Coturnix japonica: one gene and its partners. The protein of the gene in region 1 interacts with the protein of each later gene in a pairwise test. Links are inferred from orthologs where the notes say so. Each region holds a gene or a part of one and is shown in the gene's direction. Other genes may lie near its edges.

Region 1 (6,691 bases):
AAGAGCAACTGCTGTGCATTGCCATGCAATGCCATGCGTTGCCTTGTGTGCCAGTGGCTTTCCCAGCAGCAGGATGTAGTGCACACAGGGATGGAATTGGGGTACAGGGATGGATGTGGGGCCCTGGGGCACTGTGCACACCCCATCCTGATGTGCTGCCTTCCCAAGTTCTGGTGGAGCAGCTCCTGTCCTCCTGCCTGTATCTCCACCACGATGCCCCCCAGCTGTGTCCCCATGGACCCTGTAAAGATGCTTTTAACCCACGATGGCTGGAGTTGTTCCTCCTGCCCCGTCTCCCCATTGCCTCCCCCTTCTCCCAGCCATGAAGACACATCGATCTGGATTTGAAACATTTATGAAATCTTTACGGGCTTTTTGCAAAGGTTTTAATTCCCTGACAGCACTGCTCTCACCAAAGAAAAAAAGTATATTTATGACTCAAGGAGCAATTATAGGCTTAACAGCTGCTGAATGGCCGTGGCAGCTGCTGGAGCAGCTTGGCACAGCTCAGCACGGCCACGGAGGAGCCAGGGGGGCTTCCTGGAAAGTGGAGCTGGGACTGATTCCTCCCAGGGCAATGGCTGTGTGGGGTCTATGTGGGGCTCCCCATCCCTGCTGGCTGCACTGTGTCCCCATGGGCTGTATGTGCTGACTGTGTTGCTTTGCCCTTTCTCTTTGTGCCATGCTTCTCTATGGGAAAACAAGCTTTGGTGCCATCAGTTGGGGTTTGCTCTGAGCCACTTGGGTAGAAATGAGATGCTGCTGGGCAGCACTGTGCAGGAAGTAGGACAGATTGTGAGGTGAAAACATTTGTGTGAAGAATTTAATCAGCAAAACCCATTTGTCTGATGGAAAAGAGCAGCACCCTCAGAACCCCACTCAAAACTTCAGCTGGTGCAAATCTGTGCCCCATTAGGAGTAATTGGTGCCACCTGATCTTCTGCCTTGGAACAAGGCCTTCCCCAGCTGCAGGTGAGTTCATAATCTCCAGTCCTGATGTTAAGGTGGGGGGTATGACCAGCTGTGTGTGTTTGTGCTGGGGAGGGGCAGTAAGAGATTGTGAGGGTTAATGTGAGTGAAGAAAGTGGGCTGGAGCTGCAGCCCTGTGTGCTCCTTGGAGAGGATGGCTATGCTGTTAATTGTCAAGTTCTTGACAGTGAAGGTAATGCAAGGTTTGAGAGCCATTAGAGGGCCTGTAATTATTTATAGGAAGGGAAAAAATACCCAACATTGTAAAAATCAGATGGGGTGGCAAAAATATGCAGTAAGCTTTGGAGAAAGGATTCTTAGAAATCAAAATACTGAGAGATAGTGGCACTGCTCAGCTCTTCCAGCCCAGGTGGTGGCCAAGAAGGGAACCTTGGACTGACCAAGCAAAACTGAGCCTTGCTGGGCCACCAGCGTGCAGTCTGATGTCTGAGGCCCAGAAATTGCTGCTGTGGGCTCTGCCTCTGTGCCCGTGGGTTGCAGCTTGCAGGGCTGAGGTGGCCCTGTGGGTGCCCGCTGGGCTCTGTGTGTTCAGCAGAGCTCAGAGCCTGAAAGTCCTCAGTCCCTCTGCCAGCAGCTCTGGGGCCGATCGGACATTTCCATCCTGGCACTGGTTCTGCTTTTATGGCAAAGCAGCGTGTGGGTGAGAGCTGCTGGAGATGAGAGTCCCTGAGTGTGTCTGCTCGGAGCAGAGTGCTCTTGGCTGGGGAGCCCGGCAGGGCAGAGCAATTCCCTCTCACCCGGTCTGCAGAGCTTAATTAGCAGTTTGTGAAGTGCTTTGAGATCCTCTGTGTGATGTCCTGGAGGAGGGCAAAACGTGGTTACATAACGTGTCTAGACAGAATATTCCTTGGGGTGGGCAGTGGGGCTTTCTAAAATCCACTCTCTCGTGTCAGCACCGCGCAGCCCCGCTTAAAGGTTCTGGGAGCTGCTAAAATATTAATAACAGGAACAGTGATAGGAAAACATGTGCTTTCACACTCAAAAGGATGTTGATCTTAGCATGAGGCAGCTGGATGTCGGCAGAGCAGCAGCCTTTGCCTTGCAGGTGCCTTGCACTCCAGCAGAGATGGCTGAGGAGCAGCCCCACTTTGTGCTCCATGAGCAGCTGAGCCCCCCTGTGCACCCTGAGTGATGCACAGTGATGTCCCCAAGCTCCAGGACGGAGCCACCAGCAGAACCACAGCTCACACAGAGTCCCCTGATGTCACCTCTGCTGCTCCCAGGGCGTTAATTTTGTGTGGGGCTGAGCTCTCTGCTGATGCTCGGACCTACGGGATGTGGGAGCCTTTTCTTGGGGGTGATGGGGAAAGCTCAGAGGCAAAACTGAGACTTAGGTGCGTGGTGCTGGTGTCCCCAGCCCTGGGTGCCCTCTGCTGACCCTGCTCAGTGTGTCCACTCCGGCAACCACCGACCCCAATCCTTTGGGGGTGATGTGCAGCAGCAGAGCCGGGTGGGGGGCTCGGTTCCATGGGTACCCCGGGACCGAGGGGTGCCCGGACCATGCGGGACGCGGCCCTGGGATGCACGCGGTGCCGCTGGGGGGGAGCAGGGGGACGGGACCGCGGCGGTGCGCGCGCTGCCTTCATGCCCCCTTCCTCCTCCTCCTCCTCCTCCTCTCTTCCTCCTCCTCCTCCGGGAGCGCGCTCGCCCAGCCGGGAGCGAGCAGCCGGCGGGAGGATGCTGCAAACGGCGGCGGAGGCGGACGGCTGGGCAGGTAGGGCGGGCGGTGCGGGGGCCGCGATCCGGAGCGGGGTCGGGACAGCTGCGGCCAGAGCGAAGTTGTGGGAGGAGGGGGATGCGCCGGGAGGCTCCGAGGAGCCGAGCTGGATTCGTGCCGGGGTCAGCGCAGTGCCCGTGCCGCAATGCTCCGCTCCGCTGCCCCTCTCCATCCCGGCCGTTCCCCCGGCAGCGGGCAGCGCCGTGCCTCGGGGCGGCAGAGCCGGGACACAACCTCAGCTCCTCTGCCCCAATCGGAAGGCGTTGGGTCGGGAGGGAAACTTGTTCCGAGGAGCCCGGCAGGAGCCCTGGCTGCAGCCCTTCTCCTCGTGCTGCTGTCGGCTCAACGCGGGTCCGTTACCGGCGGGGTGCGAAGCGTCCCGCGGACACGGGGTCCCTGTGTGTGCCCAGCGGCCATCGGGCACACAGCGTGCGGCCCACGCGGGGCTGTGACCGTGGGCAGCAGCTCGGCCTGCGGGCTGCGTGCCGGGCTGGCCGTGAGCCTTCGGGGATGGCGTGGCCTGTACGGCGGCTGCGGGCACCCGTCTGTGCCCGTCCCCGGGTGGCACAGCCGGGCACAAGCGGCGCCGCTGCTCGCGGTGCTGGCTGTGATGGAGCGCGGCGGGGACGGTGCTGAGCTCAGAGCCGCGGTTCGCCACAGGGCTGCTCATTGGGTACTCGGCTTTTAAAGCAAAGGACTTTTCCTGACGGCCCACAATGTGCTTTTTGTCAATGAGCAACGGGCCGGGAGGGCAGTGGGGTGGGATGGGAGCTGGGACGCTCCTCGTCCGGCAGACTGCGCCCGCCCTCAGCCTTCAGCGCTGTGCTCTGCTATAAGCCCGAAGCGGCACGGAGCTGTCGCTGGGATGCGCTCCAAGTTGTGCTGCACTGGGCAGGGCTGGGAGCAAACCCCGCACGCCAGGATGGGGTGGGACGGTGCATCCACAACCTGCCCTGCTGGGCGGCAGCTGCTGCTTCTGCCGGTGTTTTTCTGTGGCTCTGTATGGGTGAGAGAGGAGCCACCCCGCTCAGCTGGTGGAACTCTGCTGACAATAAACTCTCGCCATATGTAGAGTTGAGAATCAGGCTGGCAATAATGTGTGCTGTGGGATTTTTTCCTTGTTCCGTAATCCTCTGCATGCATTTATAAAACCGGCTCATATAATCCTGCGTGCAAATGTGCAAAGCTCTGCTCTGAGCTCTTGGGGTGCTGCGCTGTGCCCTCAGTGCCCGAGCTCAGCTCTTGCACCGTGTTCTGTGTGATGTGCTCCCCAGCTTTGGTGTCTGCTTGGATGGTGCTTTGCTTTGAAAAAAGAGCCTGTGCCCTGTGCTGATCTACTGGGAGATCACTGGGGAGATCTGTGCGCTTCCAGGAGTGTGACGTGGAGCTGGTATCAAATAAATGGGGATCTGTGTACGGATGCTCTCAGCAGAGCACTGGAAAAGTTAATCGAGTCACTTTCTGCTATGGAGTTTGCAGGGTGGGAAGCAGACAGGTCCTGGAAGCACAGTGTGATCTGCAGAGTGTGGCTGGTGTGAAGGAGAGGGGTGGGAGCTGCTCTCAGCTCTGGCTGCTGCTGAACCCTCATCCCAATATCTCAGCCCATTCGGGAGCTGTGGCGGAATGTTCTGAGTGCGCAGCCTGTGGTTCTGCCCTTCGTTGCTCCCAGAGGAAAGAAAAATGCAAAAGCGTGCGCCTGGAGTGGAGTAATGAAGCCCAGGAGGCTCCGTTTGTCAATGCAGAAACAATATTGTGATGTTCAGAGGCTGTTTCTTAGCTGGATGCTCTCAGATTGCCTCCAAAAGAGTGTCATTATTTATGTGTCAAGAAGCCCCTGTCAAGAATTATATCTGTGATCTCGAGGAAAGTTGGTCTGTGGCTGCGTGGTAACAAGTGCCCACTCCTGATTGGAGCCACAGTAATTTACCTGCAAGTTGTAAATATGGACCTGTGCATTTAGGGAGCTGTGGGGAGCTCAGGAGTGAGCTGTGGCTGCAGTGATGTGCTGGGGTTCCTGGATGCCCACACAGCTCAAACCATGATTGTAACAGCAGTCCTGGTGGGGAGCTGCACCCCCTGAGCCCAGCGACCATGGGCCCCATCTGCAATAGGGTTAGTGCTGCCCAGGGGGCCCAGCTCCACACTGCACTGCACACGGCTCAGGGCTGTTTTGAAATGGGAACGTTCCCAAGTCATGATTTTCTCCAGCCTCACTATGGAAATTTTTTAATTAGTTGATAAGAAAGATCGCTTGGAAATTGCAAGGGAAATGGTTTGAGGTTGAGCCCTAATCTGTGCCTGTATCTGCCTGGAGACAGGAGCTGCTCTGTCTGCATGGAGCTCGGGGAGGTCTGGAGGAGGTTCAGGTGTGGGGGGTACACACTGTCATGGGGAGCAGGGGGGGTTCCTGCAGTCACTGCTCTTTGGGCCCTTCACTGCCTTTAAACCAGGATGAGCAATGCAGAGCACAGCATGATGCTCCTTTGGAAGTGTGGCAGAGAACAGTGGGACTTTTAGGGGTTTTGTTCTGAGTCTCTGAGAGGATGAGAAGTGTGGGGCTGTTGACCTGGCAGCAGTGGCAACTGAGGAAGGGTTTGGGGGCAGAGGACCCCCTGTCTGCTTGAACTGCTACAGCAGAGCTTTAGTTGAGTGGCAGTGAGGGCACAGCACTGGGAGCACTGGTCCCACACGGCCCCACTCTGCTGCTGTTTCTTGTGGGTGCTGCCCTTTGATAGAGCTGTAGCTGTGTGAGCGGGGCAATGGAAGCTTCATGCTCCCTCATCCATCACTGGAACCATCCTCTGCTCTCTCCTCGGTTGACCTGCAGGTCACAGAGATGGAAAGGAAAAGGGAGATGGGAAGGGCAGCTGTGAGTCAGTGTGTTCAAAACCCCAAAGTCTTGTGGGGCGGGTCGGGGCACCGCAGGTGGTGCAGAGGATGGGATTCGCTGTCCTCCCTGCGTGGCCCTCCAGGGGCTGCCCCCGCCTGCTCCCAGCCCACGGGGCGGCGATGAACGACCCCCAGAGGGGAAGCGGCCCTGGTGGTTCTCCCCGTCTGCTCCTCCTTGCGCTGAGCAGGAGCTGCTGCGGCGCTCCCTGTGCCGTGACCTCGTGCTGCGCTCCGGGAGCAGCGCTGAGCAGGGAGGTTGTTTGCTGCTTGGGAAGGGAACAACCCGAGGGCAGGTGGGGCTGCGATCCGTGAGGCTCCTGCTGAATCAAGACCTCTTTTATTTGTGTTTTTATTTGATGTGTCACTTTTTCTGTTGGTGTTCGCCATCCGTTCCCCCTCCCGGAGAAGCGTTGGGAGCAGGAAGGCGCACACAGCCCTGTTTGTTTTGGTCGGGAGCGCCGCTGCTTTGCATTCGTTTGAACTGCTGGAAGCGGCTCAGCCCAGGAGATGCACTGCGTGCTCTACGGCTGGAGTTTCTTTTGAGGAACCCTGAAATGTTTATAGAGAGAGGGGGAAAAAAACTCCCTGACAAGAGCAGCTTGTTGCTGAGCCAGCGGCTGTTGGGGTGTGTTGGTACCGGGGGGGTTGCAGCTCTGCAGTGTTGGGTCCCCCATAGCAGAGCCTGCCCATGGCCACGCAAAAGCAAAGGCCATGAATATCCCACCTCCAAATTTTCAAGAAGTATTAGGAACTCTGCGGGCTTATTTCTGAGCATCTTTATGAAAGGGCTTTAAGGGATTAACGCGTGCTCAGATTAATCTCTGCTGCTGAGGCCCAGTGTGCGAAATGAACACTTTGAGGGTGCTCCTGGGGGCACGAGGGGTTCTGAGGCCACCACTCCCTGTTCTGCTCCTGTGGGGCTGTGGCCATGGCTGTGGGGGTACATGGCAGCTGTGGTCCCCCATCCATCCATTGTCCTGCTGATGTCCTGACCAGCAGCTCTGCATTTCTAGGTCTGCAGGTTTTCACCTCTCAATGTCAAATTTCTGTCCTCCCTGCTTTCCTGAGGAGGCAATTAGCAAGCAGGCATAATAG
Region 2 (6,516 bases), on another chromosome or scaffold:
CTCTAGAGAAAGACAGTAGTTAAAAAACAAAAAAAAATTCTTTATCAATGCCAAGAAAATATACAGAGCCATATTATGCTTTAAATATATCTATGTACACACACATCTCTTCCAAAGGGCACAATTCTGGCCTTTTTTTTTTTTTTTTTTTTCCTGTTTTCCTTTTTCTCCAAACTCTGAGAAGCTTATCGATTGCTATACACTCCAGTACGGCGCGTTAGGAAACATATATATATATATATATATTATTTTTTTATCCCCACGTGAAAGTAAAGTTCAGTCTTTCTGTAAACAGGAGTTACCTTAACCTCCGACACCTCCACATGCCTGGCGCACTCGGCCCGGCGCACAGCCCCGGCTCGCACAGCGGCACAGCGCGGAAATCAACGGGCGCGGCCCAGCACAGCACAGCACAGCGCAGCACGGCGGCCCCGCTCCGTGTCTCCCGCTCCCTCGGCCACTCCTCAGCAGGCGCCGGCCTCGGGCGCGGTGGCGGCGGCCTCCGGGGGCGGCTCGCGGGGCGGCGGCCCGGAGGGAGCGGCGGCGTTGATGTGGCAGCCGGAGGAGAGGTGGCTGCGGACGCGGCCCTGCAGCTGAGTGACCTGTGCGCGCAGCAGGTTGGCGGTGGCGGCCAGCTCGGCGTTCTGCCCCTTCAGCGCCTTCACCTTCTCCTCCAGCCGGGCGATCCGCTCCAGCTTCCTCCGGCGGCACTTGGAGGCCGCGATGCGGTTCCGAAGCCGCTTGCGCTCCGCCTTCAGGCGCTCCTGGCTCTCCGCGTCCAGCGGCGACAGCGACGGCGGCGTCGGGGCGCTGCCTCCTCCCTCCCCGCTGGCGGCGGGCGGCACGTCGGGCACAGTCTGCGGCTCCTCCAGGGCCCGCGGTGCCGGCAGCCGCCCCGCGCCCAGCCCCGCCGGCCCGAACGGCAGCCCCGGCGGCGGCGGAGGAGGAGGGGGCGGCGGCGGCGCGGAGGCGGCGGGATAGGCGCTGCCCGAGGGGCTGAGCGGCCCCGCGGGGGTGAAGCCGCTCAGGTTGGTGTAGACGGCGGGCGGCTCGGCGGCGGCCCCGGGGCGGGCCGGGCAGCAGGGCCCCGGCGGGGAGAGCGGCGGCGCGCTCAGCAGCTGGTTCTGCTTGTGCAGGTCGGCCAGGGCCTTAACGAAGCCGTCGGCGAAGCCCTCCTGCTCCTGCGTCACCGGCTGTCGGTACAGGAACGTTCCCGCCGCCGCCGGCCCGCCGGCTCCCCCGGCCGCCGCCGGTCCCGGGCTGCCGGGCCCCAGCCCCGCGCCGCCCTGGATGAGCAGCTGCTCCAGGTCGGCGGCCGGCGGCAGCTTCAGCAACGGCAGCTCCGCCGCCGAGCCCAGCGCGGCCTCCGGTCCGCCGCGGTTCGCCGCCGCCCCGGCGCCGGCCCCCGCCGAGCCCTGCGCCGAGCCCGGGGGCGGCGGGGGAGCGGCGGAGGGCGGCAGCAGGCGCAGGGCGGCCGCGCTGCCGCGGGCGCTGCCGGGCGGGCGCAGGGCGAAGGGCCCGGGCAGCGGCGAGGGGGCGGCGGGCGGCAGGTCGCGCTTCTTCCCGGCTCCCAGCAGTAGCTTCGGGCCCGCCGCCGCCTCGGCGCCGGGTCCTGCGGTGGCGGTGGCGGCGAAACCCGGCAGCGGCACGAAGTCGGGCAGCAGCTCCAGCCCTTCCTCGGGGTAGAACGGCGCCTCCATCTTCACGGCGGCTCTCCCGCTCCGCCCGCCGCTCATGCTGCCGGCCGGCCGGGGCGCGGCGCGGCGCGGCGCTCCCCGGTGCCCGCCCTGCGGCGGCGGCGGCTGTGTGTCGCGGCGCGGCTGCGTTCGGCGGGGGCCCGCAACCCTCGGCTCTCAGCGGGGACTGAGCCGCCTCCCGGCGCCACCGGCCCCACGCCCCGCCCCGGTCCCGCCGTCTGCCCGCCCCAACGCCGCCGCCTCCCCCGAGCTCCCCGCCGCCGGCCCCCGGCTCAGAGGGGCTGCGCGGGGCTCCGCGAGGGGCCGCGCTCCGAATTCGGCGCTCGCTTATAGACCGGCTTATTGCCCTTCTCTCCATCCTGTGTCTCTGAGGGGTTCCGGACCCCATCCTGGAGCTGCTTCGCGCGGCTCCTGCCCTTTGCTCCCGCTGTGGGTGCGCCATAGGGCGCTGCCCGCACCCCTGCTCCCGACACCAGCGCCCGCTGCCCGCCCCGCACGGGACAGCGAGATCGGGACATGGGGCGCTCCGGGGGAACGGCCCGCTGCTGTTAGTCGCTGGTGTAATACAGGGAATGGTACGGCGGAGCGCACTCCGCGTTAACTTTTTGTACTCCATCGCGTCGGTGTATTGTTAGCTCACCCTAACACCTCAGCAGGGCCCAGCAGCCCACACACACCCGCACCCCATCCCGCCCTGGGGGCGCTCTGCCGCCGCGCCGCAGCTGCCCCTGAGGTAGTTCCGGAGCGAGGGGCGGGAGCAAGGCAGAGCGCCGCTCCGATTGGACGATCTGCTTCCCGAGGCCCCGCCCCCCATGAGAGGACCCACCAATGGGCAAGGGCGGCGCGCCGTAGCACCGCGAGAGTTGCTCTGAAGCTGGTGCCGCCATCTTGGAGTTGGGAGAGGCCGCGTCCCGTTGCCGTCCCTCTCGGAGGGTCACCGGCGGGGGGGGACGGGGCACGATGGCGGCCCCACGGTGAGCGGACGGCACCTGGGAGCCCCTCCTCGCGCCGCTGGGCGGCGGCGGCCGCGGGGCCGGCGGGATGGTGCAGTCGTGTTCTGCCTACCGCTGCCGGAACCGATACGACAAAGAGAAGCCCATCTCCTTCCACAAGTGAGCGCGGGCGGCGGGACGGGGTGGGGCGGGGCGGGGCGGGGCGGGCAGGGCGCCAGGGCGGGGACAGGGCCGCGGGTGTGCGACCTCCCGACGCAAGGGGGCGCTGGGCGGCGGGAGAGGGGCTGGGATGGTGGGCCCGGCGTGAATAAAGAGTTTGAGAAACGCTGAAAATAGCTGTTGTTGTCAGGTTTCCTTTGACCAGGCCTGACCTGTGCAAGAAATGGGAGGCGGCGGTGAAAAGGAAAAACTTCAAACCCACCAAGTACAGCAGCATCTGCTCCGAGCACTTCACGCCCGACTGCTTCAAGCGGGAGTGCAACAACAAGCTGCTGAAAGAAAATGCTGTGCCCACTATATTCTGTTACACTGAGCCCAGTGAAAAGGTAAGCGCACACTGCTCACAGCCCCAGGTGCCGAAATGCACTGTGCAGCTTCTCCTGTCATTAAGGCCATTTGTCATCACTGCAGTTGTGTTACTGGTGCTGTCCTGTTGTAACAACTGCAGGCTGACATTTGTATCTGGGTGTTAACTGCACTGGGTAGGGCTTTGATTGTTCACAATCAGACCATCCCAAAAATATGACAGATAATACAAGGCCCTGGGACTTTTCAGGACTGATGGCCCATTCTTTCTCCTGTAAATCAGAAGACAGTGCTTGCTGTGTTCTTTATTGCAGATAGAGTTGCAGAGGCTAGTATTAAATCATCAGCATAATGTTATAGCTTCACATCAGGTGTCTTGTTCTAGTTAGCCAGGTCCAGAGCTATTAAGTCATGGCTACAGGTAGGACTATCCAGATGCCCCTGTGAAAGAACCCAAAAAGTCCAGCCTCCTACAAAATAGCATTAACTGCAAAATTGTGTTATAATTCAGAGCACCATCTGCTAGCCACTTTTCTTGATCTTCCAGAGTATGTGTTGGCCACCACTGACAATATATAAAACTAGTGCCTGTCTGTTGAATATTGAACATATTTAGGCAGTTTACTTGTGTTCCAGAGCTAACATAAACCCTTTCTCATGCTCAGGGCATCATCTGTATTTTTCCACACAGTATACAATGTTCGATTTAATGCAGAAATAAAGAAGGAACATCTAGAAAATGAAAAGTGGAAATAATAGGCAAGAGACCATACATAGCACAAGGTATAAAGTGAAATGTGGACCATTTTCAGGTCTGCTTTTTGTGCTAAGATCTGTTTGATGACGGTTCCCCACAATCTTAGCAACATATTTCCTATGTCACTTAAAATTGTTTGCAAAACTTATTGCAGTGTGAAAGCTGAAGGTATTTAATATTGACATCAATGCAGTAGTTCTGAGCCACATTCTCTCATTCATTGCAGTACCTGGCTTTATGAGTGCACAGAACAGTGGCTCCTTATGGAAAAGGAGTTGGTGGTGCTACTATTTATGTCACAGCAGCTTTCAGTGTATCTTCAAGACATTGAATAGTAGTGAATAAGGACAGCATTTTTTTTAAATTCATACTGATTTTGAGATACAGCATTTTTTGCATCATAATTCTTGAAATACTTTTTTAGCTATGTCTGACAACCATTTACTGGATGTAAGAAGGAATAAGAACTCACTTGTGACGTGTGAGCAGTATGAACGATGAGCTCTCTGTGACACACAGTGACAGCAGTAACACAGCATGTGCTGCGTAGCTCTTGAATACATGCCTCTGTCTGAATGCAGCTGTCTGGCAACAATGCCATTTTTGCTCGTGCTTCTAACATGGGCAGAATTCTCTCTGCACATTATGTCTTTGGTTTGTCATCTTAGCTGAAAAGTTTGAAAGCTGTAGGTCAGACATTTTAGAATATTGGTATGTGATTTAGATGGACACACCTGGAGCATCCACTTCTTATAACTGAGAACTGACACAGGCAGTGGGCTGGTTTTGTACTTTAAAGTGATCAGTAATACCTGAGCAATGTGAAACTTCCCCTCAGTACCAGAAGTGGAACTGTGTTCTCAGTTCCTGTGCCTAATGTAGTTTGTACAAGGATGACATCTGTACTTCCCAATCTGACTGTTGACTTGTTCTTTATGTTAAGGCAAGAAGCTTAATAATGTGATCTTCCAGTCTCAAGAGGGGACAGTTGGTGGCTGTTAAAATTGAAGATGCGATCATCTTCATGCTTTTATTTGTAGTAATAATGTTGGGGACAGGGAATTAAAAAATCGGTTTCAGTGTCTCTTTCACTGAGACATTCTTAGGCTTTTGGGTTTTTTTTGGTTTTTTTTTTGTTTTTTTTTTTTTAAACGGGTAGTATACATTATGTGTGCATTTCTGAATAAAGTATGTTCCTCTGGGGCAGAATAATCAGAATTCTCTTTGACCTCCTCCCAAGTGATGACAGGTATGCATTGTTCTGAACCGTGCAAGTGTCTGAACCTATCTGGAGCAGTATGGTGAAGCCTGCAGTATGATGTGGGAATGAGCTCGCTTAGTGTTCTGCTCTATCCCATCTGCCAGCCACCCAGTCCTATTTTCTTACTCCTTCCATATGACAGCTCTCACTGCATGGCTTTGACTTTAATGCAGGACAGAACTTTATTGCAGCGATGGTGGAAGTGTGAATAGCTTTCTGTCATCTTAGCAACATCCTGTATTTAGGGAAGGATTCATAACAGAGCTGGGAGAGCTGTTTATTTTGGCTCATCACATCACCAAACCCTTCTGCTGCGATCCCAAAACAATGTGATGGTCAGTCCTAGTTGTGAAGAGCCAGATCTTCCTGTGTCTACTTTCTCTGCTCTGCCAGCTTGTCCATCTCCCTTAGTGAAATGGTTCTTATTTTGTCATAGCAGGGGATTCTCCAGTTCTGCTGTGCTCCTGGTTAGGTTAGCTGATGAGTTCAAAGTGTATGTGGTGAGATGCAGTAGAAAGAAAGAGGGACAAGAGGGAATGGGATGGACTTGATGAGCTACCGGGTCTGCTGAGCTCTTTTCACAGGACTGCATCCAGGATCCTCATCTAATCCTGGATATCTATTTCACGTGTCCTCAAAAGTGAGAATGACTTCTGGGCTCTTCAGTTTCAGATTTGTTCTAGACATCAAGGATTTGAGTTTCAAAAGAGTGGAAACAAAGTTGATTAAAATACTTTTGGTTTAGAAAACAGGCTAAATGAGCCAGTTTTGAAAACTGAGGCTTTGAAACATGTGGTGGGTATTTTTTAATTGTTTTTTTTTAAGTCCTAGTTGTTTATACCGTAGTTGCCCGTGCTAATGGAGTTGTGTTGCAAAAATGCTATGCTTACAAATGTACTTTTTTTGGTTTGTTTCAGCCTGAAGAATTTTCAGAGCAGCCAGAAGATCCGCTTCCACCACCTCCACCACCGCCACCTCCACCACCTCCACCGCCACCGCCGCCACCTGCAGCTCCCACGCTACCACCGTCTCCATCAGCTCCTTCTTTTCATTTATCTCAGATAGATGCTAGATTCGTAGATCCAAGTATCGGATTATTGATGCCTCCTCTCCAGACCCCTAGCAATCTTGCTGTTTTTTGTGATCACAATTATACCGTAGAGGATACAGTTCATCAGCGAAAAAGAATTCAGCAGCTAGAGGAACAAGTTGAAAAACTGCGGAAGAAGCTCAAGACAGCGCAGCAGCGATGCCGACGTCAGGAAAGACAGATTGAAAAACTGAGAGAGATTGTTCAGTTTCAGAAAGAAAAAGACATGCTGG
Region 3 (6,025 bases), on another chromosome or scaffold:
GGTTTAAGGCAGTCCCAAGGTCTCACATAAAATTTAAGCTTTTTATTACGTTCAGTCCTTATACTCTGGTCCTTCTTGTAGACTTGTTCTTATAAGTTGCTTTATAAAAACAAGGCTGTAATTATGAAAAAAATAAGTTTATACTTGAAATTGTCCATTTCTAAATATGTTTACTTTTTATTCTAGTAGTAGAAACATGCCTGTATGAGCAGAAGGGTAGAACAAACAAAAAACTGAGAATTAAAGGTAGCTGTTAGTCAGGAGGCTCTATGATGAGTAAGGAATACTTGAGATAAGTAATGGTGGCTTTTATGTATGTGTAGTCTAAGATCAGGTTAAAGAAGAAGCTAATGTGGTTCTTGTTTTGTCAATATGTGTTCTAAATAAGAAGCAGTGTCTCTGGTTTTTGTTGTTGTTTTAAATGCCTTGATCTATGTAAAAAAAACCTAATACTGAGTACTTTTTTTTTTTTTTAAATTCTAGGCTAAAAAACTTAATTACAAGGATAAGAAGTTGAATATTGGTCCTGCAATAAGAAAACAACAAACACGGATTCCCCGTATGTATATTCACTTGCACTTGTCTATTATATATGTCATTGCACATCTCATTTTTAACCAAGATGTGCCTGATCATGTGTTGTTTTAATGCTATAAAGAGAACACAGAATAAATGTGTACCAGTGGATAAATCCAGATTTGGCAAGTCCAGGATTGATCTTCAGAACTTTTTTCTCCTCCTTAGTGTATTGTTTGCTCTCTTGGGATGATGATTTATGTAGGAGCAAGGGGAATGGAATCTTATCATAGTTACATGGCAGAACCTCAGTTCTAAACACTGTCCTCACAAATTGTTCAGCAGACTTTCCTGGTTCTGTGTGTTATTACTAGTTAGTAGCAAAATCCCTCAGAACCATGGCATCTTGCTTTGTTCAGTAGAAACTATAATGAGCGGGTATTTGTTGTCTCCACTAAATTCTTAGGTTTCTGTCCTTTAAAATAAAGGCAGAGTTGCTAAAGGTTCCTTTTCTGGCAAAGAACTGCTTAAACTGAAAGCATACATGAGAGAACTATTGGTCAGGTGGCCAACTATTGGTTTGTTACTTTGGTCAAGTATGCTGTTAAGAAGTTCTGTGGGGATAATCGTTCAATTTTTTAGGCTTCCTCTTAGAGAATGTACCATCACCTTCTGCTAGGCACTGTTTAGTTTCCGTAATGTATTGCAAAAGGTGTAAACCTCTAACTTTCAGGATGAGAACTGCCAGCTTTTTTATGCCGGCTATTTTGTTATTCCTCAGTGATGTCTATAAAAATCAGAAGTAAAATGCATTACTTGAGAAGTGCAGAAGCAAATGAAGCTTATCTTTGTACTTCAGTGTTCATCTTACGGTACCTTTTGGAGGGGAGCGGCGGAACACACACTTTTGGACCTGTTCTGTTCTGTGGAATTTTAGTTTTAACTGTATAGTTTTCTTAGTTTTTGCTGTCAATTTATTAAGAGGTAGTTCATATGTACGCTACTACTGATGCTGCAGACATACCTTCACGTGAAAGGAGATTTGTACTTCTATATGCTTAGGTACGCCCCTCTCCCCCTTAAGTGTGTAGAGTAAGATTTGCCCAGGAGAGTGGAAATTCTTTGTTTCTTCTGTATTGTTTCTTTGCTTAGGAAATAATTGTGCAATCTTCGCTCAGCCATCATCAAGGTGTTACATGTTTGATTGTGGGTTTTGTTTGTTTCTGGTGGTTTTTTCTTGTTGCTTGATCTGTTTGCATTGCTTTGTTTCCCTTTTTGTCTTTGACTTGAAGATTCTCAAGTGCGTTGCTGCACTTGCATGGCTTCATTCTCCTGATGCTTGTGCCCGGTGTGCCTATAATCAGACAGTGTTAGAAGATACAGTTGGCATCCAGATACACATCCTGGGATCTAATTTCAATTCGTCTGCTGTCATGCTCAACCCACTAACCTTAGTCATGGAGTTAATTTGATCATTTGGAGGCCTGTGAAGCCATGAAAACTAGAGTCACAGTGTCACTGTAACTGTTTTAGTTAGCAGAATTTAAATGATTGTTCCTTTGATACTCTCATTTATCAGTCTTTTCCAGCCCAACTAACTGAGTTGCTGTCTTTCTCTACTGTTGATCAGAGCAATTTTCATCTTTGCTATTAACGCAGGACATTTTCTCTGAAGAGCTTTGACCATATTGGGATGGTTGGTATTCTTACAATTAAATCCATGCAAATCTGGCATAAGAATATATCATGTTCTAGTCCAGGCAGTGAGTTTGTCTTGGTTCAGTCAAGAGCAGTTACGTATACGGAATGCAAAGTGCATCCGTCATTTGTAAGTATCTAGTGAATCTAGATTTACTAGAACATGAATCTAGTTTGTATTTATCCTCCAGGATGGTCTCAAATACAGGTGTCTGATTTAAAATAGCCACAGATTATGAATGAAAATGCTTATGTACTTGCAGTACAGTTGTGATTGGATCTCGTAAGCTTCAGCTTAGCTCTGCCTCATCCAAGTTCTTCCATTTTTCCATTGCAGTGAGTTTGGGTTTTATAAAGAACCTTTTCTTCCAGTTTGTATGGTTTTCATTGTTCTATTTATTCATTCATTCATTTATTTATTTATTATTAATTATATATATATATATATAGATTATATATATATATATTTACTAACTGCTCTGTATTTGGCAAAGTGGATAGGATAGTTGATCAGGGAATTCGCTTGGTTTCTTCATTTGAGATAGCAAGAATGCTTTTCTAGAATGCTTACTGGAATTCAGGTAGTCTCTAATTTTTCTCACATCTGTTTAACTCTGCTAAGAGTCAACTTAGCATATGATTTTTCAATGGGTAATATTTCAGCTTTGATGTAAACAAGCATCCTCAAGTTTTTCAAGGAGTCAGTTGAACTCCTAGCATCCATGAAGGCAGTTTGAATCATAGCGAGGTCCTTTTTGGTCTCCACTTACCTTTGTGGCAATCCACTTGGCACGTACCTGTCCATAAAATGGCATTTCCTGATGCAGTTTTGCAAGGAAGCTGCAAAGGGATGATGCTCTCCATCTTGTGTTTTTCTTCATTTATTTGTTTTGCATGTTAAATGTGATTTCAGAATTTCTTTTGGTTACAGAATCATTTTTCCTTTATTTTTTTATTTCTTTTTTTTTTCCTTTGCATCGTGTATATTTGGAACTGAAACTTTTCTTTAACATTGTTCTTTCTACTTACCCACGAAACGCAGATAGGAACAGACTCCAGGTGATTCCAAAAGCAGTGATTGAGGAAAGCAGCCTCTACATAGGAATGGAAGCCTCCTTATTGAGCAGAGCTTACTGTCAATACCTGGTAGCTGTACAGTTGGAACTGTGCTTTGGGGTCAGAGCATTATAGCCTGTGCGGTAGCATTCCCATTGCTGACATCTGGATATCTGTTCTTACGTCAGGAAATGTGCCATCACACAGTTTTTGTGCTTTGAGAAATCGGGTTGCATTTTATAATGAAATCCTTCTGTTGTTTTTAGTGCTTGGATCCTGTTTCAGCTTAATATGAGTATGTGGAGGTTACCAATGAAAATCTCCCACAATGTGAAGTTACCTTTGGACATTTGAAGATTTAAAAAAAAATTATTTGCTGGTAATTGGAGTTGTCTGTGTTTAGTAATCAAAATGCATGTTATATTCCATACCCCTTCCCATCTACCCCAGCATCAGCCTGTGATTCTTTGTTTGAGATGGAGCTGAGGTGGCACGTTCTTTCCCATGTTCTTTCCTTTGAATGTTTTGCATTTCTGAAGATCAGAAATGATCTTTCCTTCCTCTTTATGACTTTTGCATTGGTCAATAAATACTGTTAAGTAACTCATCTTCAAAAATGATTTCAGGTTCTAATGTAATACAAGAAGGTGGTACAATGTACTTAACAACTTCCAGTGGATATCCTTATATTTACCATAATGGAGTGGCTTATTTTCATACTCCTGAAGTTGCTTCTGTTCAGCAGCCATGGCCAGTAAGTAATTGATTTTTCTGTATGTATGTTTTTCTGAAGTCCAAGATGAATACAGGGTTTCCAAGTCCCTTTTACTTCTGGTTTCTCCAGCTACACCTTATCTTTGATATTTAAGGGGTTTCTTTCTTGTATTCAGATTTAAAACACATTACTTAAGTTTATTGTTTTTCTGTGGAGGGATTTGCTTTGGTGTGACTGAATGGGACAGAATTCGTTCAGAATCAGTGTAGTCATTGCCCCAGAAGTTTTGTTACTGAGGATTCGTTGGTGCTTATGGTCCTTGGTTGGCTTCAGTTTTCATTGCTCCATGGGTGAGGTGTTCCTGGCTGCTGTGGCCACTGTGTTGAATATAAAAGAAGTTAATGCTGAAACTTAAGTTTTTATACTTAACCTTAAGTCCCATCCATACTCCTTTTTATTATTATTCCTGTCTATCCGGGAGTGCTTCTTATTTTAGGAGGAAGAATGCAGTAGATGAAATACTTGGCTTTAGTGGGTATGGAGAAATTGACTCCTTCCTTTCATTGATGTTTTTCTGACCCTACAAAATAGAAAATAAGTTTTCAGCTAGTTTAGTTCCTGGATCACTGCCCAGTCAGATGAATACTGTGGCTGGTGTAAGTAAAGACTTGGAAAATAGAAGAAAGGAATGGGTCTATGAGGGGGTAGGAATACCTCATTGATAATTTATATTGACTAAAATTGTTACAGGAATGTGTGTGCAGTCAGTATAATAGTGGGTGAGCTTATCCAATTTCAGAAGGCACTTAATACAATGATAGTAAGACATGCTTTTACTTCATCTGTAATGCAGGCTCCTTGCAAGTAGTGATCTTGAAAAATTCAAATGAAAGTTAAAATATGGTCAATCCATTTTTAAAAGGGTGGGGGACACAATTCAGCATATAGTACTTAATATTGGGTCTTAACAGGAGTGACAAATTATGAAATAGCTGCATTGACTTGTAACTTTTTTGTCTTTTTAAGTCACGCTCCGTTTCCAGTTCACCTATGATGGTAACGCAACCAGTTTATCAGCCTCCTACTTACCATTATCAGGTATCTGTTTGCAAATGAGTTCCAGAGCGGCAGGATTCTTTCCAGTCAGCTGTGCAGTTTTGTTTGCAGCACAATCTCAGTTCTGTTTATTCTTTGAAAATAAGAAAAAATTCTGTAAAACCAATTTCAATTTCATTGAAGACTTCCCCCCCACCCCCAATAGAATACAGTTTCTACCTTCCTATTTAATTGCGTGGAAATGGAGTAAATTGGTGTTTTCTTGGTTGCTAGAAAACTGGTTTAGTGCTGTTCTTAAGGATTTGTTTAGTTTTTCTAAGCCAGATTCCCACTCAGAGCAGTACTGGTTAGGCAGAGAATCTCCAACATTTGTCCAGTTCAATTTTACAAGTTTCCAACAAGGGAGATTACATATCCTGTCTGGGTAGCCTCTTCCAGTAGATGATCTTTCTCCAGGTGAAAGGCTTGGGAGCTTTTGTTTTGTATTGTTTTTATTCTTCTCCTTCTCTTTGAGAATTTTCCAAGTTCTAATACATGTTTGTCAACTCTTATGCTCTGAACACCTTTGAGTCAGACTTACTCATGTTCATACTCTCCCAGCATGTAGTAGTAGTCAGTAATAATTACATCTTGGCACCCTTATCCTTTGTAAGGCTTAGTGAAGCCGTTACAGTTGGCATCCTGAGATGTCAATTTTCCAGTCCTTTAACCATCATGACAGCCCACTGCTGAGCTTAGGTGATTTGTCACGTTAAGTGTATTGGATGTCTTTTAAGTAGTACTTAGATGCTTAATTATTCATTATTATTAAATGCCCAGCTGAGTGGCAGTAGACAAAATTCTTCTTCAATTAAGGGCGTATGAAAATCATGTTTGTTCCTTTAATAAGATTTAAATGCAGATTTGGGGTGTGTTTGGCTATCATATGTGAGGAAGGTGCATGTCTATGCATATGTTTATAATTATGTAATAATATCTTTCTTG
Region 4 (4,945 bases), on another chromosome or scaffold:
TGTCTTTCAGTACAGCCATTGGGATAAGGTGCAAAGATGGCGTTGTCTTTGGTGTAGAAAAGCTCGTTCTGTCCAAGCTGTACGAAGAAGGCTCCAATAAACGTCTCTTCAACGTCGATCGGCACGTTGGAATGGTGAGCGGCTGCTTAAGCTCTCAGGATTTGAAGGGGCTCAGAATAATATTAAAGAGATGCAGTGATGGCAATTCTCCTTCCAGGCAGTAGCGGGGCTGCTTGCAGATGCTCGTTCGTTGGCAGACATAGCTAGAGAAGAAGCTTCTAACTTCAGGACTAACTATGGCTACGACATTCCACTGAAGGTAAGAAATGAGCGCGGTTCACTCAGAGCTTTTGGCTTTTTTAACCTTGACAGCGATAACCATAAGCAATAATTGTGATTTACTTATTTCTGCAAATAAAGGCCTCCGCTTTTCTTTTCCCCCTTAGCATCTTGCAGACAGAGTGGCCATGTACGTGCATGCATACACACTGTACAGCGCTGTCAGACCTTTTGGTTGCAGGTAGGTCTTTCCAACATGTGCTTGTTTGTAAAGGCCTTTTGCTTCAGAAGGGCTGGAGCTGTTTATGTCTTAGCTCATTTTTCACATTTGGTACCGATAAACCAAGAAGTGGGAAGAGTTTCCCCTGTCCTTTGTTTTATTGCATCAGAGCAAACCAGGCTGTGTATGGCCTGCATGCCTGTCCATCAGGCTTAAAGCTGAGGAGTTGATGTTGAATCTGTGTCCATTTTGAAAGCAGAACTTTGTGATCATCCCCTAAAGAATAGGTAATAACTACCATGCAGCTGTGGTTACCAGGGAACTAACAAACTGAGGTCTGTAGTTATAGTTAAGTAAAACATTTCTGGTCAATTGCAGGTGCTTTGGGGTCACGATAACACTGAGCCTTCAGACAAACTGCTTACAGAGTGTAATAGGGTAGTGGGGAGCCCTGACTTGATTTAGCTGTCATTGCTGTATGTGGGTTGGCAGAATGACTGTTTGATTTTGCTTTTTCTCACCCAGTTTCATGTTGGGGTCCTATGATGACGATGACGGCGCACAACTGTACATGATCGACCCGTCAGGAGTTTCATACGTGAGTCTTTCAGAAATACTGTTACTTTTAAGTTGCTCTTTTAGAGGTTTCTAATCTGGACATCAGTAACGTGGCGTGCAGTTCTTAGAAGCAGCACCGCTTCCATAAAGCCTGTTTTTAAAGCTCTCAGAAATGTGGGAGTTCATTCCACCTGTATGCAATGAGGAGTCCCATCCATTGCCGCAGGGTTGAGTGCTGCAGTGATAACTCCGCTCACAAAACACTGAGGTGCAGAGGCTGCTAGGTGGGCTTTGGTGGTGGTCTTTTCTAATTCTACTTTAATTATAGTAAAAGATCCTATGCGACAAACAGAGCAGGTGTGTGTGTGCCCAGAGGATCTACTTAGCATTGCTCTGTCAAGGGTGGCAGTGCTTAACCCAATAACTTGTGAACCTCACCTGAGAGAGAACAGTGCCAACATTTGCTGTGTATCTGCCTTGTTACAGGAGTGAAGGAGTCGTTAGGTATGTGGTGGATGTAGTATTTCATTAACCTTACACTTTTCTTTGTTGTTTAGGGTTATTGGGGCTGTGCCATCGGTAAAGCCAGGCAGGCTGCAAAAACAGAGATTGAAAAGCTTCAGGTAGGTTGTTTCACTTTTATTGTGTTGCTTTCAGGATGGATTATTTCTGCCTTTTTAGATGCCTTAAATTCATAAAGTACAAGAGAAGCAGAAGTATTTCCTAATACGTTGTCTTAGCCTCTATAGGAGCAGTGTTTCTGGCATCTTGACCCTGGGCAATGGGAAGTCCATAGTGAGCACACAGTTTTAAAAGGAGAAGCATAAACATACACTTCTTTGGTTACCAGCCTAATTGTTTTTGTAGAGCTGCAGTGTTTGTATTCCTTGAACTTCATGGTAGGGCCTGTGAAGTTCAGTAGATGAGAACAGGGGTGTGCCATACAGCACAGCTGTGCTGATCTGTCATGGCTTGTTTGCAGAATGCTTTCAGTGTGATGTGGTCAGAGCAGCATGAAGCAAGTGCGGTCTTGTGTGCTGATGCTTCTTGGTAACGGTGGGCTGGACAGGTTCCAGGGCAGAGCTGATTTTGTTCAGCTGATTTCCTGATTGAATGACAAAACATAAATGGGAAGAAGACAAATGCAAACGCTTTGGTGGGGTGGATAGTGATAAGATGAAGGGGAGTGGTTTTAAACTGAGACAGGGGAGGTTTAGGTTGGATACTGGGGGAAGTTTTTCCCCCAGAGGGTGGTGACGCACTGGAACAGGTTTCCTAAGGAGGCTGTGGATGCCCCATCCCTGCAGGCATTCAAGGCCAGGCTGGATGTGGCTCTGGGCAGCCTGGGCTGCTGGTTGGTGACCCTGCACACAGCAGGGGGTTGGAGCTGGGTGAGCACTGTGGGCCTTTGCAACCTGGGCTGTTCTATGATTCCATGCTGATTCTATGATCCTATTAGCTGCGGATCTGTCCTGTGAAAGATGACTGTAGATGGAAAGAAAGAGGTGAGAATATCATCATAACCTTGAAACCTGTCTGGCAGGTACTGCAATGCAGGTGCTGCATGTGGGAGGGGATGCAGTACGTGAGATCTGCACACGCAGCTTATACTGCAGGTGGGGTGCACTGCATTGATCACATCTGTTGCATCTTATGCAAACATTTGGTATCTTCTGTCACATGGGGCCTGCTTGAATCTGTTCATCTGCAGTGCTTCTCATGTTATTTTCAGATCATATTTATGACTTTTTTTATATGGACATAATGGGGAGTTAATTACAGGAGTTAATTACAATTACAGTATTTCCTATTTGGGGAAGATTGGGCCAGGAAAAGAATAATGACAAAAGATAAATGAAAGCTTTGTTTTGTAAACACACATGACAGTAACAGACCTTTGGGTTTTCTTGTTTCACTATTGACTCCATGTGCTTAAATACACATAGGTGTGTGACGCAGATTAGATTTATAAATAGAAGTCAGCACTGCGTTACGGATTGAGTCACAAATGGAAGGGCTGGGACAGTGTCTCTGTTTAGGAAACTTGTTGGAATGCAAATGTGACAGCACATCTACCTAAGCAGGGCCGTTTCCTTTTCCTTTGGCCCACTGTGTACTTGGGTGTGTGCATTACACACACACAGGAAGTGCTGTCAGACTCAGCATGAAGAAAGAACTGCTGTCCTTCAGCAGCTTCTCAACCAACTTCTGTACGATGGCTTTGCAAAGTGGTTGAGAATCTGAGATGGTAAAACTACATGTATCTCATAAGCTCTACCCTAAGCTCGGTGTAAAATATGCTGGTCTAATCAATAATCAGGTATGTTTTAGTGAGTGAAAGATGCATTGTGGAGAATAGGCACATCACAGTCCCTCGTTTGCTGGCCAAATGCAAAACAGGATGTTCTGCTAAGCTGTATGTTTTTTGTCTGCAGATGAAGGAAATGACTTGCCGTGACGTTGTAAAAGAGGTTGCGAAAATGTAAGTCTGCAGAGTGTTTCTCCAGCTCAGCAAAAATAGGTGCTTGTGGGCTTGTTATGGTTTCAAAGTGAAGCTGTTCCCTTTACATGAGGTACCAGGTTTCACTTTTGTAGATGAGTGCTGGTGCTGATTCTAGTCTGGTGTTCTATTAAGATCTGTCTTGTGAGATGGGCTGGGGGAAGTTCTTTACTGTGAGAGTGGTGAGGTGCTGGAACAGCTGCCCAGAGACGCTGTGGATGCCCCGTCCATCCCTGGAGGTGTTCAAGGCCAGGCTGGATGGGGCCCTGGGCAGCCTGGGCTGGTATCAATGTGGAGGTTGGTGGCCCTGCATGTGGTGGGGGTTGGAGCTTCAAGGTCCTTGAGGTCCCTTCCAACCCAAGCCAGTCTATGGTCTCTTCAAATAAATACAAGTATCCTTTCGGCTGTTTCCAGTACTTAATGCTTACAGGGATACTTCTGCACTTGTCACAAATCTAATAATATGCAGCTACAGAAATAATTTCCAGCCTTTTATGGCTGTTCCTTAGAGGTTATAAAGAAGTAATAAATGTTTCCATCAATGGTGTTGCAGCATGTGAGTTTATTTATGTGGCTGTGTCAGAGGCTATCATGTTAGCTGCTAAAGGAAAGAATGTGTGGGCTCTCTGCTCCTGAAACATAACAAGGACCTCAAAACGACTCTGAAACTGCACAAACAAAGCACAAGGCTGTAAGTTGTTGTAGGCTTAGCAGATGGGATGGAGAGCTCTACGTACAGGTTGTGTATTAGCAGTTGTGTTTAGATTTAGTTTCAAGTATAAGATGAAACAAGATTTACAGGGGAAATGCAGGGAGCTCCTGCCACACTGTGACTGATTGAGCAGAAGCAGGCAATGATGTCATAGCCTTGGTTCTACAGTACTGGAATCTTAAATAACATTTATTGTAAAGGTGATGTTCTGTATTGGGTTACTCAGCATCTCACCTACGTGGGTACCTTGCATCTTATCTGTAATCATGCAACACACTGTTTTAGTAATGCTTTACTCCACAATATGCCCTGATAGACTCTTTTCCTCTTGAAATGGGATGAGCACAAAGGAGAGGTTGAAGAGAAAGCAGGAGGGGAAGCTTCTATTACATGTAGGAAATGGTGTTTCAACAGAGTAAGAGATGTGTGAAAGGAAGAAATTATAATTTGCCTGTCAATAAATCTGTTCTAACCTCCACCCTCTCCCTTTCTTTCCAGAATCTACATCGTTCATGATGAAGTAAAGGATAAAGCTTTTGAGTTGGAACTCAGCTGGGTTGGAGAAAGTAATGCATTTCTACCTTTCTGTCAACAGTAGAGAAAGCTTCTCATTTTCTGTATTGAACATGCAGAAGCAGTGTTTTACTTATCGCACCGTGCTGTGTGAATTCTAATA

What was found.
Region 2: the proteins of ZNF385C (region 1) and THAP1 interact in a two-hybrid assay, tested with the Homo sapiens proteins (3 studies listed by BioGRID). The two-hybrid records come from large-scale screens. The link is inferred for Coturnix japonica from reciprocal best matches to the Homo sapiens genes ZNF385C and THAP1.
Region 3: the proteins of ZNF385C (region 1) and BOLL interact in a two-hybrid assay, tested with the Homo sapiens proteins (2 studies listed by BioGRID). The two-hybrid records come from large-scale screens. The link is inferred for Coturnix japonica from reciprocal best matches to the Homo sapiens genes ZNF385C and BOLL.
Region 4: the proteins of ZNF385C (region 1) and PSMA3 interact in a two-hybrid assay, tested with the Homo sapiens proteins (2 studies listed by BioGRID). The two-hybrid records come from large-scale screens. The link is inferred for Coturnix japonica from reciprocal best matches to the Homo sapiens genes ZNF385C and PSMA3.

The regions. Positions count from the first base shown.
Region 1 is NC_029542.1:4,425,966-4,432,656, reverse strand, and holds the start of ZNF385C (zinc finger protein 385C), read left to right. Parts: upstream 1-2,547; 5' UTR 2,548-2,574; coding exon 2,575-2,704; intron 2,705-6,691.
Region 2 is NC_029547.1:47,538,738-47,545,253, reverse strand, and holds the start of THAP1 (THAP domain-containing protein 1), read left to right. Parts: upstream 1-2,697; 5' UTR 2,698-2,738; coding exon 2,739-2,809; intron 2,810-2,999; coding exon 3,000-3,195; intron 3,196-6,110; coding exon 6,111-6,516. Other genes in the region: transcription factor jun-D-like, read right to left, coding at 465-1,736. UniProt on the Homo sapiens protein: DNA-binding transcription regulator that regulates endothelial cell proliferation and G1/S cell-cycle progression.
Region 3 is NC_029522.1:8,891,211-8,897,235, reverse strand, and holds part of BOLL (protein boule-like), read left to right. Parts: intron 1-483; coding exon 484-559; intron 560-3,896; coding exon 3,897-4,024; intron 4,025-5,011; coding exon 5,012-5,083; intron 5,084-6,025. UniProt on the Homo sapiens protein: Probable RNA-binding protein, which may be required during spermatogenesis. May act by binding to the 3'-UTR of mRNAs and regulating their translation.
Region 4 is NC_029520.1:50,257,800-50,262,744, reverse strand, and holds part of PSMA3 (proteasome subunit alpha type-3), read left to right. Parts: intron 1-10; coding exon 11-134; intron 135-217; coding exon 218-319; intron 320-446; coding exon 447-520; intron 521-1,024; coding exon 1,025-1,097; intron 1,098-1,614; coding exon 1,615-1,680; intron 1,681-1,681; exon of another isoform or gene 1,682-2,162; intron 2,163-3,492; coding exon 3,493-3,539; intron 3,540-4,767; coding exon 4,768-4,835; intron 4,836-4,945. UniProt on the Homo sapiens protein: Component of the 20S core proteasome complex involved in the proteolytic degradation of most intracellular proteins. This complex plays numerous essential roles within the cell by associating with different regulatory particles.